Drosophila melanogaster: one gene and its partners. The protein of the gene in region 1 interacts with the protein of each later gene in a pairwise test. Each region holds a gene or a part of one and is shown in the gene's direction. Other genes may lie near its edges.

Region 1 (4,696 bases):
GTCAGGGTTGCGATGTGCAAATCGGACCACTGATCAACGAGATGCAGTTCAACAAAGTCAGTGGCTTTGTGGAGGACGCCAGGTCGAAGAAGGCGAACATTATTCTGGGCGGACAGCCGTTGCCCGACAAGGGATCCCTTTTCTACGCACCCACAATTGTCACAGATGTGCCACCCTCGGCGCAACTCTACTCGGAGGAGGTCTTTGGTCCAGTGGTCTCCATCATACGGTTCCGAGACGAAGAAGAAGCGGTAAAGAAGGCAAACGACACCAGGAGAGGCCTGGCCGGTTACTTCTACAGCGAGAATCTGCAGCAGGTGTTCCGGGTGGCCAAGCGACTGGAGGTTGGCATGGTCGGCGTCAACGAAGGCATCATCTCCGCAGCAGAGGCTCCGTTTGGTGGCGTCAAGGAGTCCGGTGTCGGACGGGAGGGTTCCAAACACGGTATCGACGACTATGTGGACATCAAGTACATTTGCATGGGCAACCTCAAGTACGACTGAAGTCCGATGGAGGGATCACCCCCACTGCTTTCATACGCTGTCTTCCACTAGAATGCGATTGGTTTATTGTTGTCTAATTGTAGAATAACACGCCGCTATATTAATAAATGTGCACAAAGTCTACCTGAAGCTAATAGATAATTTCCCTTTTTTAAAATAGCCCGCCTCACCTTTCGATTAATTGGGATTGGTTAACAATCGCTTTAAATTGACAAGAAACCGATCATAGAGACATCGATATCCGGGAGTAATCGATTTTTCTCCACCTCTGGGCAGACTATCGCCATCCCCACAGCTGTGCGACAGAGACAGAGACAAAATTACAATGCCAAATGACAAAATTGTAAGTAAATTGTTGATAAAAAATTAAAAAGTGCATTTAGGGTGGAAACTAAGCGAATGTCTTATTGGTGAAGTGTGTGCAGTGAAATTGGTCAAGTGTTTCCCTATAGCTACCCACCAAAAAAGCCGGCAAACAATGTCGGTTTTCCAGTTCGCTGGCGTTTGTTGTTGTTGCCTAAATGTATGGAAAATATATTTAAAGTGCATTTCAGCCGGCAAAAGCGAAGCATATAATGCATAATGAACCCATTTGGAAGCACTCCCGGCAGTGCAAATCCACTGCAAGTCCCGAAATGCGGCCAAAGGTGCTGGCGGTGAAATTGAATGGTACCATGACTTGTAGATTTTCCACTGAAAGAGTGCAGTCTAGGCGGCAGTAGGACTGAGGGGAGTGTGCGGGGGTTTTGAGACCAAAAACCGATCCAAAAACCAAATAAATTATTAACAATTGTTGGCTGCAATCCGCCTGGGGGAAATGCATTTGAGGATATTTCTGTCTAATAAAGCAATTTCTGGTTGATAGGGTGCTACACTCAGAAAAATGTCTCTGCGTAAAATTAATTTTTGAAATATATGTTTTGTAAAATAAGAAAACTGCACATACCAGTAAATAGCACAACTTAAAATTTTAAATACAAATTTAATATAATTTTTTTGTTTTAAAACTGCATGCAGCTTGTCTTTCAAAATGCTGTTTTATTTTTTATTTAAAGCTCATACAATTACAGATCCGAATTTACATATACAGGCATTAGTTCTCTTTTTAACTATGCACTCATTTTGGCAACGAATTGCATTTGTTTTTAATTGCGATGCCAGATAAATTTCCGCAGTCAAGTTCGCGCCTTCATGACGTACAGTTCGAAACACTAAGCAAAAAGCCCTACAGGCTTTGGTAGCTAATAGCTACACTTGACAATCCCCCTTACCCAATCTACCACCCACCACCGCCCACACAAGAGCCCACCCAACCGCCCATCACCCAGTGACCCGTCCAGAAAGTCCAGAAAATGGCCTGTGCACCACTGCTGCTCGAGCAATTCATCTACAAGAAGCGCAATTTCGCCTACGCCTTTGTGCGCCATCGTCTGTTTGTGTTATGTAAACAATCGGTTGGATCAGAAATTGCCAAATTCACCTGTCCTAGTACTAATTAGAATCTGTTATTCATTTGTTAATTCCAGCTAATTCGCGTTCAGTCGGCGGAGGGCATCAAACGCATCGAGATCTCGCCCAAGTCAAATCTAAAGCATCTGTACGACAGCGTTCAGAATGCCCTGAAGGTGGATGGATTTGGTCTCTTCAAGGAGCGCAACTTCCTCACAGAGCTGCAGGCAAGTGGCTCCCAGCTGGTGGGGACTTCCTTGAGGCATGGCGACATGGTCTACTTAAAACAGATGGCTGGCACATCATCGCGCGTAAGTTGATCATATAGAGCAGAACGATCGGGGACTAACCTGCATTTTTCACCACTTCTCAGCGCACTAGCACCACTGTCCTGGACAGTCAGGCGTTCAAGACTAGCACCATTAGCAATCCAAACAGCGCTCGTCCATCCTTCAATGTGATCGAAGATGACGTGGACCAGGCTCTGAGCAAGGCTGATGGCACCATTAAGCGCGAACGTGATAGCAAGCTGTAGGCCTTGATTATACAATTAATTGTAAAATTAAACTGATCAACCTATAACTTTTTGTAGGTGCCACCACAATGCCAACGGCCGTTGCGTTCACTGCTCCGCACTGGAGCCCTATGATGAGTCCTATCTGAAGGAGCACAATATCAAGCACTTGTCCTTCCACTCGTACATACGAAAGCAGACATCCGGCATGGATCAGGGCAAGTACTTTGTCTTCGACGACATCAATTGCCGCATCAAGCCGGGATGTCGCGAGCATCCACCATGGCCCAAGGGCATCTGCTCCAAGTGCCAGCCGTCGGCCATTACGCTGAATCGTCAGACATATCGCCACGTGGACAACGTCATGTTCGAGAACACTAAGATCGTGGAGCGCTTCCTCAACTACTGGCGCACCACAGGACACCAGCGCATGGGATATCTGTATGGGACGTACGAGCAGCACACTGATGTTCCGTTGGGCATTCGGGCCAAGGTGGCTGCCATTTATGAGCCGCCACAAGAGTCTACCAGGGATTCGATCAATATTCAGCCGGATGAGTTCGCCGACGATGTGGATGCCGTAGCCAGTGCGCTGGGACTGAAGAAGGTTAGTTAGTTATAGACAGTAGCTATGTAGCATTAGTATTGACTTTTGTGACATTTATAGATTGGTTGGATTTTCACTGATCTCATCACGGACGATGCGAGTATCGGCACTGTCAAACAGATCCGTGGCATCGAGTCGCACTTTATTACGGCCCAGGAGTGCATCACAGCTGGCGAGCTGCAGAATCGACATCCAAATCCGTGTAAATATGCCTCCAATGGCGTCTTCGGCTCTAAGTTTGTGACCATTTGTGTAACAGGTAAGATTCACGATTTAATACTGCTTAATGAACTAGTACCAAAATAGTTTTTAACATTACAGGAGATAAAACCAAACAAGTGCACATGGAAGGCTATGCGGTTTCGGCTCAGTGCATGGCTCTGGTGCGCGATAATTGTCTGATACCCACTAAGGATGCGCCCGAGCTGGGCTACGTGCGTGAATCCACGGACAAGCAGTATGTTCCCGACGTTTTCTATAAGGTAAGTTAGAAAGTCTCCCCCCCATTCAAGCAAAATCAGTTATCGGGCAACCTTTATTGAATTACGTTCACACATTTACACAAACAACTTCCATATTTAGACATCAATACGAATGGGATTTGGTTTTTCAGTTTGATACATGCAAAGAAAATTTGGGTGTCAAGAGCAACGCCAATTCAAACATTTGACATCTAGAGGCTTACATTATCTTGGATTACGTTGATTTATTTATGGAACAACTTCATTATTTTCCTTATCCTTCTCGGTTTGTACTTCTCATCATTGCTCTGGGTTCTCCTTCAAACGTTCATTTTATTTTTCCTATACCTAGGACATTCATAAACAATGTTGTTATTTAGCGCATATTCAATTGTTAAAATAACTTTCTGAGCAACTGCCAAGCCAATCACAATTTTCCAGTTATTACCCTTATTTTTTTTTATTTATTTTTATTTTGCCAAACTGTTTTGTTCTATCTAATGCTTAATTGTGATACGCGTTTTTATTATTTTGGAAAATATAAGATTTCGATTTGATTTTTTTCTTTTCAATTGAAGTTAATCGTTGATTGATTGATTACTTAAAATAATTTAAAGTATAATAAGTCTACAAATTTCGTAAAATTGATTTCGATTTGTTCCTAAAAAGATTCTTTGCCTTCCTTTACATCGCTAAGGTCATATTATTACTTGATTCCCTTATTTTTATGGATGGCTATTCTTGGCGTTCATTATTTCATCCATCACAAACATAGCCTTAGTTATGATCACATCAAATGCATATTTAGACACCGAAAACTATCTCGTTTATTTACTTATTGCTAATAGGTTTATTTCATATTAATTATTAACTTGAATTGACATTAATTACATGTCAGCTATGTATTTGGATTTCACCTTACTCGTGGTTTCAAATTTTTAAGTTTTTATTGTAGCTAATTTACTATATCCAGGTATCGTCGTAGCGCTCCAACGCACATTTAGTGTCGTTTTCCTTAAGCTAAACTTATTTAAATACTCAAGGTCTGTTACAATTTCCACCTTGTCCATGAATCTGAAATGTTTATAGATCATTGATAGTCTTTTTTTTATTTAAAATAGCATCCAAAACGTTTCAATAAGTTGTAAATTGTTTATAAAAA
Region 2 (3,379 bases), on another chromosome or scaffold:
CGCGAACTGGATGCAATTATCGGTTAAACATGGGAAATTCTTAGTAGTACTCAATATAAATAATTACGAGCAGCTCAACCTATATTCGGGGCTGGGAATTTGGATCTGTATTTGGATGAGGATGTGGATGGCATACGAGCACTCTTTGGCATACGCAGACAGACGCCTGACACAAATTCCCATCCGACTTACACAACTAGCTCGCCCGTCCGACTGGTGCTGCAATTTCAAATTCCATGCACCGCATCAAAGCGCAAACCAAATTGTGACATGTCCTCCGCCGATGACTCCCGAGCGCCACCAGGAGCTCCACACCCCCACCCCCGTTGCGTAGCGACCGCACACATTGCTGTGCTCCACCGAGTGGCCTTCAATAGGGAACAAAAGATGTTCCACAGGCACACGAAAAAACTTATACTTAAGTTATACAATAGTTCAGGGTTTGTGGGTAATTACTCCACGATATATTATTCAATAATTCTCTAAATCATTTTGAATAAGTTAATACAGACCTACTCAGCTCACACTTTTAAAAAAACTCATACAGAAACACGAAAGTAGCTAAGACTGTATAGAATACTTTCAATTTTATTACACAAGTTACTCGTAGAGTAAAAGGGTATACTAGACTCGTTGAAAAGTATGTAACAGGCAGAAGGAAGCGTTTCCAACCTTACAAAGTATATATATTCTTGATCAAAATCAATAGTGGAGTCGATGTAGCCATGTCCGTCTGTACGTATGAACGTCGAGATCTCAGGAACTATAAATGATAGAAGGATGAGATTCAGCACACAGATTTAAGAGACAAGTTTTTGGCCCATGTTGCCACGCCCATTCTAACGCCTACATACCGCACAAAACTGTCACTCCCACACTTTTGAAAAACGTGTTGATATTTTTTCATTTTTTATATTTTTATTTTCTATCAATTTGCATAAAAACTTTTTGCCACGCCCACATTTTTGAGAAACCTTTCGATATAATATTTTCATATTTCGACTTGCCAAACAACTTGTTTCTCTTGTTTTTTTAATAATTGGATGTTTTAGTAATATTTCTTTCAGCGAATTCATTTTTTCGAAGTGCATGATCCACGATGAAAGAGGCAACGACGACCCTTCTGGCGAGTCGTTTGGGTGGATGAGTCCTTTAAAGGAGTAGCCACCACCCCAGCCCTTGTTAATTGCCGGCTATGCGGAAGTTTCGCAGGATTTTTGCTTTAATTAAATTTTGTATAATAAATTGGGAAACATTCTAGCAGCGCCTTCAAGGAAATGCCGCCCCTTTGCTTGGAGAAATCACCCTTGAAAGTGGAAGACCTCCCTTATTATTATCCTTTTACCCATTTATTAATGGTTTTTGGTGTGACTAATTCTTATACTCGAATATGTATAAGTGACTAAAGTATGTTTATAACTTTCGGTAAGGAGATAAAATTATGTTAAAGAAATCACAAGCATATTGCCATCTATTTAGGCAATTAACCTTTTGATACAAATTTAAACAGTAGTCACAGTAACATAGAAAGCCTAGAAAGGAAAATCAAATACTTTACAGTCCAGTAGGCGATGCTTGTACATTTTCTAGATGTCAAAACATACCCCCAGCGTTTCCATCGAATATCTCATTCAGTTTTTGAGTCTTGCTAAATTCATACGTTTTCATTCGTTTCGTTTTCTATAGTTATTTGAATAAAAACATCAAAATTTTTCAAAAAAAAAAAAAAACAGTATCAAAATTTTGTCCAAGTCCGTATTGCTTCTTTTTGTTCTCCCATTTTGTGTGAACCATCTAGAAGAAAGTAAAGTAAAAACGGTGGCCCTGTGAAAATTGTTTTGATATATGAGAAGAGTACGATAACGAATTCAGAAAAAAACATTGCGAAAAGAAAGAGGAAGTAGTGAAACAGGCGCCAAACCCAGTAAGAAATACATCCCATCTTGAAATTAGTACAGAATTATAATTTCTCTCATTGATATTTGCGTTGCCTATCCAGCTTTCATTGTTTCTTTCAATAAATCGATAATCAATAGCAACCCTGTTTTGTACATGCGTATTAACAAACACATTTTTTTTTTGCAGTTACCAATCGAGAAGCCAAAATGACTGAGAGCATTGTGTGTCACAAGTGCCAGGAGGCCATCACCAAGCGTATGATCACCGCCCTGGGCAAGACGTGGCACCCGGAGCACTTCCTGTGCCACCACTGCGATGAGCAGATCCTGGATGCCACCTTCAATGTTCAGAGCGGAGAACCAGTGTGCAACAAGTGCTTCGTGGAGCGGTACACCTACACCTGTGCCGGCTGCAAGAAGCCGATCCTTGAAAAAACCATCTGCGCCATGGGGGAGAGCTGGCACGAAGATTGCTTTTGCTGCGGCGGTGCCTGCAAAAAGCCGCTCGCCAATCAAACGTTCTATGAGCGCGACGGCAAGCCCTATTGCAAAAAGGATTACGAGGACCTCTTTGCTGCCAGGTGCGCCAAGTGCGAGAAGCCTATAACGGACTCAGCGGTGCTCGCCATGAACGTGAAGTGGCATCGCGATTGCTTCCGGTGCAACAAGTGCGAGAATCCTATAACCTCGCAGACTTTCACCATCGACGGGGACAAGCCCGTGTGCCCCGCCTGCAATTGCTAACATCGTCCCGGATAACCATGGTGCATCCTTGCTCTTCCTCCAAATTGTTCATTTGCTTGCTTACAATAATGTTGAAATAGTTCCCGAAGCTTAGTAAGCCTAGAGGCATGCAAGAAAACAGACTTACACATTTAACACACAAACTTAATACACACACAAACACTAAATAAAAATAAAAAACAAATATGTTAAGTCTCTGTATTGGGGTAGACAGGTATACCCTAAGATTTGCCTTAGTGGTGTTGGTCACCCAAAATAACATTCTGATTACTGTGAGATAAGGTCGAGCAAGCCCTTTCCAATATGTTGCAGCCTTTCGTTAAATAACAAGCTTTTGGCAGCACTTTAAATAATGAATTATTTAATTTTAAAAACAAAAATTGAAGAGCTTTAAAAAATCTTTCCGTTAAGATCGCAGTACAACTGCCTTATCGATTCTTCTCGATATGAAGTGGTGGCCGTCTCTTGGCGTAGTCACGAATCGGTTACGCAGATGTGTAATCTAGATAAATATGGAATTAATACAAAAAAATTAAGAACAAGATAGAATTTTACATACGAGTTCCCCGACTATCAGATAACGGTTACTCAGCTGGTGTGAATGCAAAAGCGAAATTTAATAATTTTTCTGGGATATCGATAGAAAAAAATGAGTAAAAATTGTTTAAAAATGTGGGCGTTACTGTTTTGGGAGTTTTTAAGGTGAAAGGAGTGGCGTGTCCACAGTGCTTTTGGTA
Region 3 (3,378 bases), about 18 Mb from region 1:
CTTGACAGAGATTATGTCTGGATTGCTGAATTTTGGGGACACTGGAGCGAGGGCTTGAAATGAAAATGAATTTGTGACAATATGAAATACTTGTGCATAAGTGAAATTGTTTCATTCTGCCGGGGCGAAGTCCGCCGGCAACCCAGTAAAATAATTGCCCAATAAACAAATGTTTTTGAAAATATGGTCCGAGTGCTCAGCAAACTTATTTCCGTAATGGACTCGGCATCAGGCCCAAAATCAATTTTCATGTCTGGTTCAATGTCATTTCGAAGTGGCGTACAATTACACCCGTAATCCCCTAGCATATGGCAGTAAATCTTGTTGTTTACACTCTCGTTGACCATCGACCATTGTCAATGTTTATTGTTTATTGTTTAACGCTTTTTCTGAATGACGTTTATATTTATATTTATATTAATATTATCAATGGCGGTGAACACATTCTATTAAATGAAATCCGCTATCTTTAAATGCAGTTTGTGGGAATTAGTAGCAGATTGTGTTAGTTTGTGTGCCCAGATTTGACCAACCACTCTGTTATTTGGCCATTTCCCCATTGGCAGATTGAGTTTGCATTTAATACCTTATACGTGATCCATCTGGTAATTAATGTCCCTCGTAGGCCGGTCGGTGAAATAAATTGGATTTGTTGTTAACATTTTAGTCACTGTTTTGTCATTACGCGCTGTGGGAAAGCTGCTGTCAATTTTGTGGCGACCAAAATGACGGTTGGCCAAAAGGCCAAGGGAAAACATCCACAAATTGATGAGATGAGCACTTTAAAGGGAAGTCGACCTGTCTCGGCATTAATAATCCCAGTGCGTGATCAAACTTCAGTCAGCCAATTGCTGGCTACTTATGCCCATAAATAGTTCATTGCATTTCCATTAGGCACTTTGCGGCAATCCGGACGACTGTTCGTTGACCTAATGCGAGCAATTCATTATCTGCAATTAGAGTTCAATTCACAGGCTCTGCCTGGCCAAAGTTCAAGGATCGGCTAGGCCGGCCTCTTGAGGCCATAACACATCATTAATGGTCTCTGCGGCCGGTTGCCAAAGAAAAGTGTAACAATAATGGGCTCGTTTGTTTTCATTGCACACGTGCCGGAGCCCCGACTTTGGTCAAATGTGCTCTTAATAGACCCAGCGTTTTGGGCCATGTTTTTGCTGTGCAAACATTGGCCAACTCTCCTGTCGGCGGCAGCTCCTATTCCCCCTTCAGTGGGCCACTCTTGTGGTCCGGCTGATGGCTCTGTTCCGTCAACTCGGGCGGTTCAAAAAATGAAATTAAATGCGCGAATGCATGTTTAATGGCGCGAAAATGTGTGGAATCTTTTTGAGAATAATTTTCGACCACACCTGGATAATGGGTGCAAATGTGGGTAGATTAGCAGTCGCACTACTCCTCATAGATTATTAGGAGGGACCATTATTAAGGGTACAAATAAGTCAATGAAAGTTCGAACAGGGCCCTGTTAGTTTTTCATTTTTTTAGGGACATCATAATTACAAAGGCTATCCAATCGCATTGAGAACTTTCGAGTTCGCAACTCTATTTCGGGCTCACTTGCAAAGTTTTTTTTACAATGGATATCCTTTAGCATAATTGCATGCATATTGCCTGCAATAATTGCATGTGATATTATTACAGAGATTCCTTTTTTGGTTTTTATTCCACGCCACTTTGAACCAGCCTGATTGTTGAATTAAAAAATTAATGAATGATTTTTGAAATGCCAATGTGAATGGCCGTGTAAATAAAATACAGCAGCCTGACCCCTTTCCATATATCGTCTGATGAATCCTCATGATGTTCTCGGCTGTTTCCATGTATATTTATAAACACCAGCGGCTTAAAACAATAATTCCCCAAGGACTCAGATGTTGTTGACGGTGACAACTATGTGGCGTATTTATTAAAGCGTTAATTGTCGAATCAAAGTAGTCACCGCATAAATAAGCCATTTAATATATCTCAAAAATCTCCAGTTTCCCAAGAGCAGTATCAAATTTTCAACATGTCCGCGACGAGCCTTGTAACCATTAAGTCGATCCCCTCAGCGGGAGATGTCCTGCGGGGTAAAAATGTACCAGTTCACCGCCTCAACGCGAAGTTTGTGGCCAAGGCCCAGGAGAAGGCTAAGAAAGTGGAGGAATTCCTGACTAGGACGAAGACCACTTCGTTGGTTTCCTTGTCAGGACTTGCTTCCCGATATGAGTTCCATCGTCTCCAGGAGCTCGACGAGTGGTATGAGCCAAGGATCAAGTTCCACGACGAGGCCGATGCCAGTTTGCATCCCAGCTACGATATAAAGCACTTTCAGTAGTCAGTTAAGAAAGAACTTGCTGAGTTACTTAGGTTTCCTGACACACCATTATTTCCAGCGATCTTAATTGCTATGTGCGGTATCTGGACTCCAAAGCGAAATATGATAGGCAGTTCCTTCACGAAATGGAGCACATTATTGCCAATCAACGCAATATCTGCGACCAGTTTTTCCTGAAGAAGTAAGCTAAAAGTTAGAAATGATAACATAAATTAACCGGGACTTTCGTGGCTTTTCTAGAATCCTGTGCTATAAAACAATGTGGCCCCCACTGCATACAAAGAGGGAACTGAATAACTTTGTCTCAAAATTCTTTCAACTGCCTCCTAAGGAAAAACGTCGCGTCGAGTATCTGTTGAAAACGGATTTAAGTCTGGGTTGCTAAAACTGATCCAATTGCAAAGTAAATGAGCCTTTTTATTCCACTTGGAAATGGTTTAATTAGCTCATTTAATTTTGCAATTATTCTCTGCAAAACTGATAAAATTACCTTATGGAAAATTGTACAGCCAATAAATTTAATTATGCAATTAAAGCCTTTTTTATAATTTCGCTGCAAAGTTAGTGAGCTAACAAATTGGATGGCTGGCGTAAGAACTGTAAGAAAATGTATTTTATGATTACTTGTTAAATTTTAATAGGATCTCGTTTACAAAAAGGTTAGTCAATCGGACAGCAACTAAATAGTTTTGAATAAAATCCGCATTTGTTTAATTATTCCACTAAATTACATTTAAACAAACTGCCGTTTGTGCATATTAAATATTTGAGCTGCGCTCATAAATAAATTCAAACAATGAATTATTATATTGTTAAACTGTGTAACTATGTGAGCAGATTCATGTTTAAAAGCAATGCAATTGTTTCGACCTCTTTTTACAAGTTACCGATAAGGGATAAATGTGTGCGTGTGTGATTGTATGCGTTTGTGATTGTGTGCGTTGACAGGAAGTGCGTCATTTGTCAAATGCTATTTTATGACCATTTTTTAGCCGTTCAGTCGAGTTTTGTTTGCACCGTGTATACACCTGAAAAAGAGCAAATTT

The links. The genes of interacting proteins can lie anywhere in the genome.
Region 2: the proteins of Npl4 (region 1) and CG31988 interact in a two-hybrid assay, tested with the Drosophila melanogaster proteins (one large-scale study listed by BioGRID).
Region 3: the proteins of Npl4 (region 1) and CG11286 interact in a two-hybrid assay, tested with the Drosophila melanogaster proteins (one large-scale study listed by BioGRID).

The regions. Positions count from the first base shown.
Region 1 is NT_033777.3:25,620,739-25,625,434, reverse strand, and holds the start of Npl4 (nuclear protein localization 4), read left to right. Parts: upstream 1-1,689; 5' UTR 1,690-1,855; coding exon 1,856-1,957; intron 1,958-2,029; coding exon 2,030-2,263; intron 2,264-2,325; coding exon 2,326-2,483; intron 2,484-2,544; coding exon 2,545-3,073; intron 3,074-3,133; coding exon 3,134-3,332; intron 3,333-3,394; coding exon 3,395-3,555; intron 3,556-3,596; exon of another isoform or gene 3,597-4,696. Other genes in the region: Ssadh (succinic semialdehyde dehydrogenase), read left to right, coding at 1-503. UniProt on the Drosophila melanogaster protein: May be part of a complex that binds ubiquitinated proteins and that is necessary for the export of misfolded proteins from the ER to the cytoplasm, where they are degraded by the proteasome.
Region 2 is NT_033779.5:21,200,979-21,204,357, reverse strand, and holds CG31988 (uncharacterized protein), read left to right. Parts: upstream 1-1,555; 5' UTR 1,556-1,924; intron 1,925-2,085; 5' UTR 2,086-2,105; coding exon 2,106-2,642; 3' UTR 2,643-2,865; downstream 2,866-3,379.
Region 3 is NT_033777.3:7,770,346-7,773,723, reverse strand, and holds CG11286 (uncharacterized protein), read left to right. Parts: upstream 1-1,967; 5' UTR 1,968-2,023; coding exon 2,024-2,331; coding exon of another isoform or gene 2,332-2,332; exon of another isoform or gene 2,333-2,390; coding exon 2,391-2,513; intron 2,514-2,572; coding exon 2,573-2,717; 3' UTR 2,718-2,864; downstream 2,865-3,378.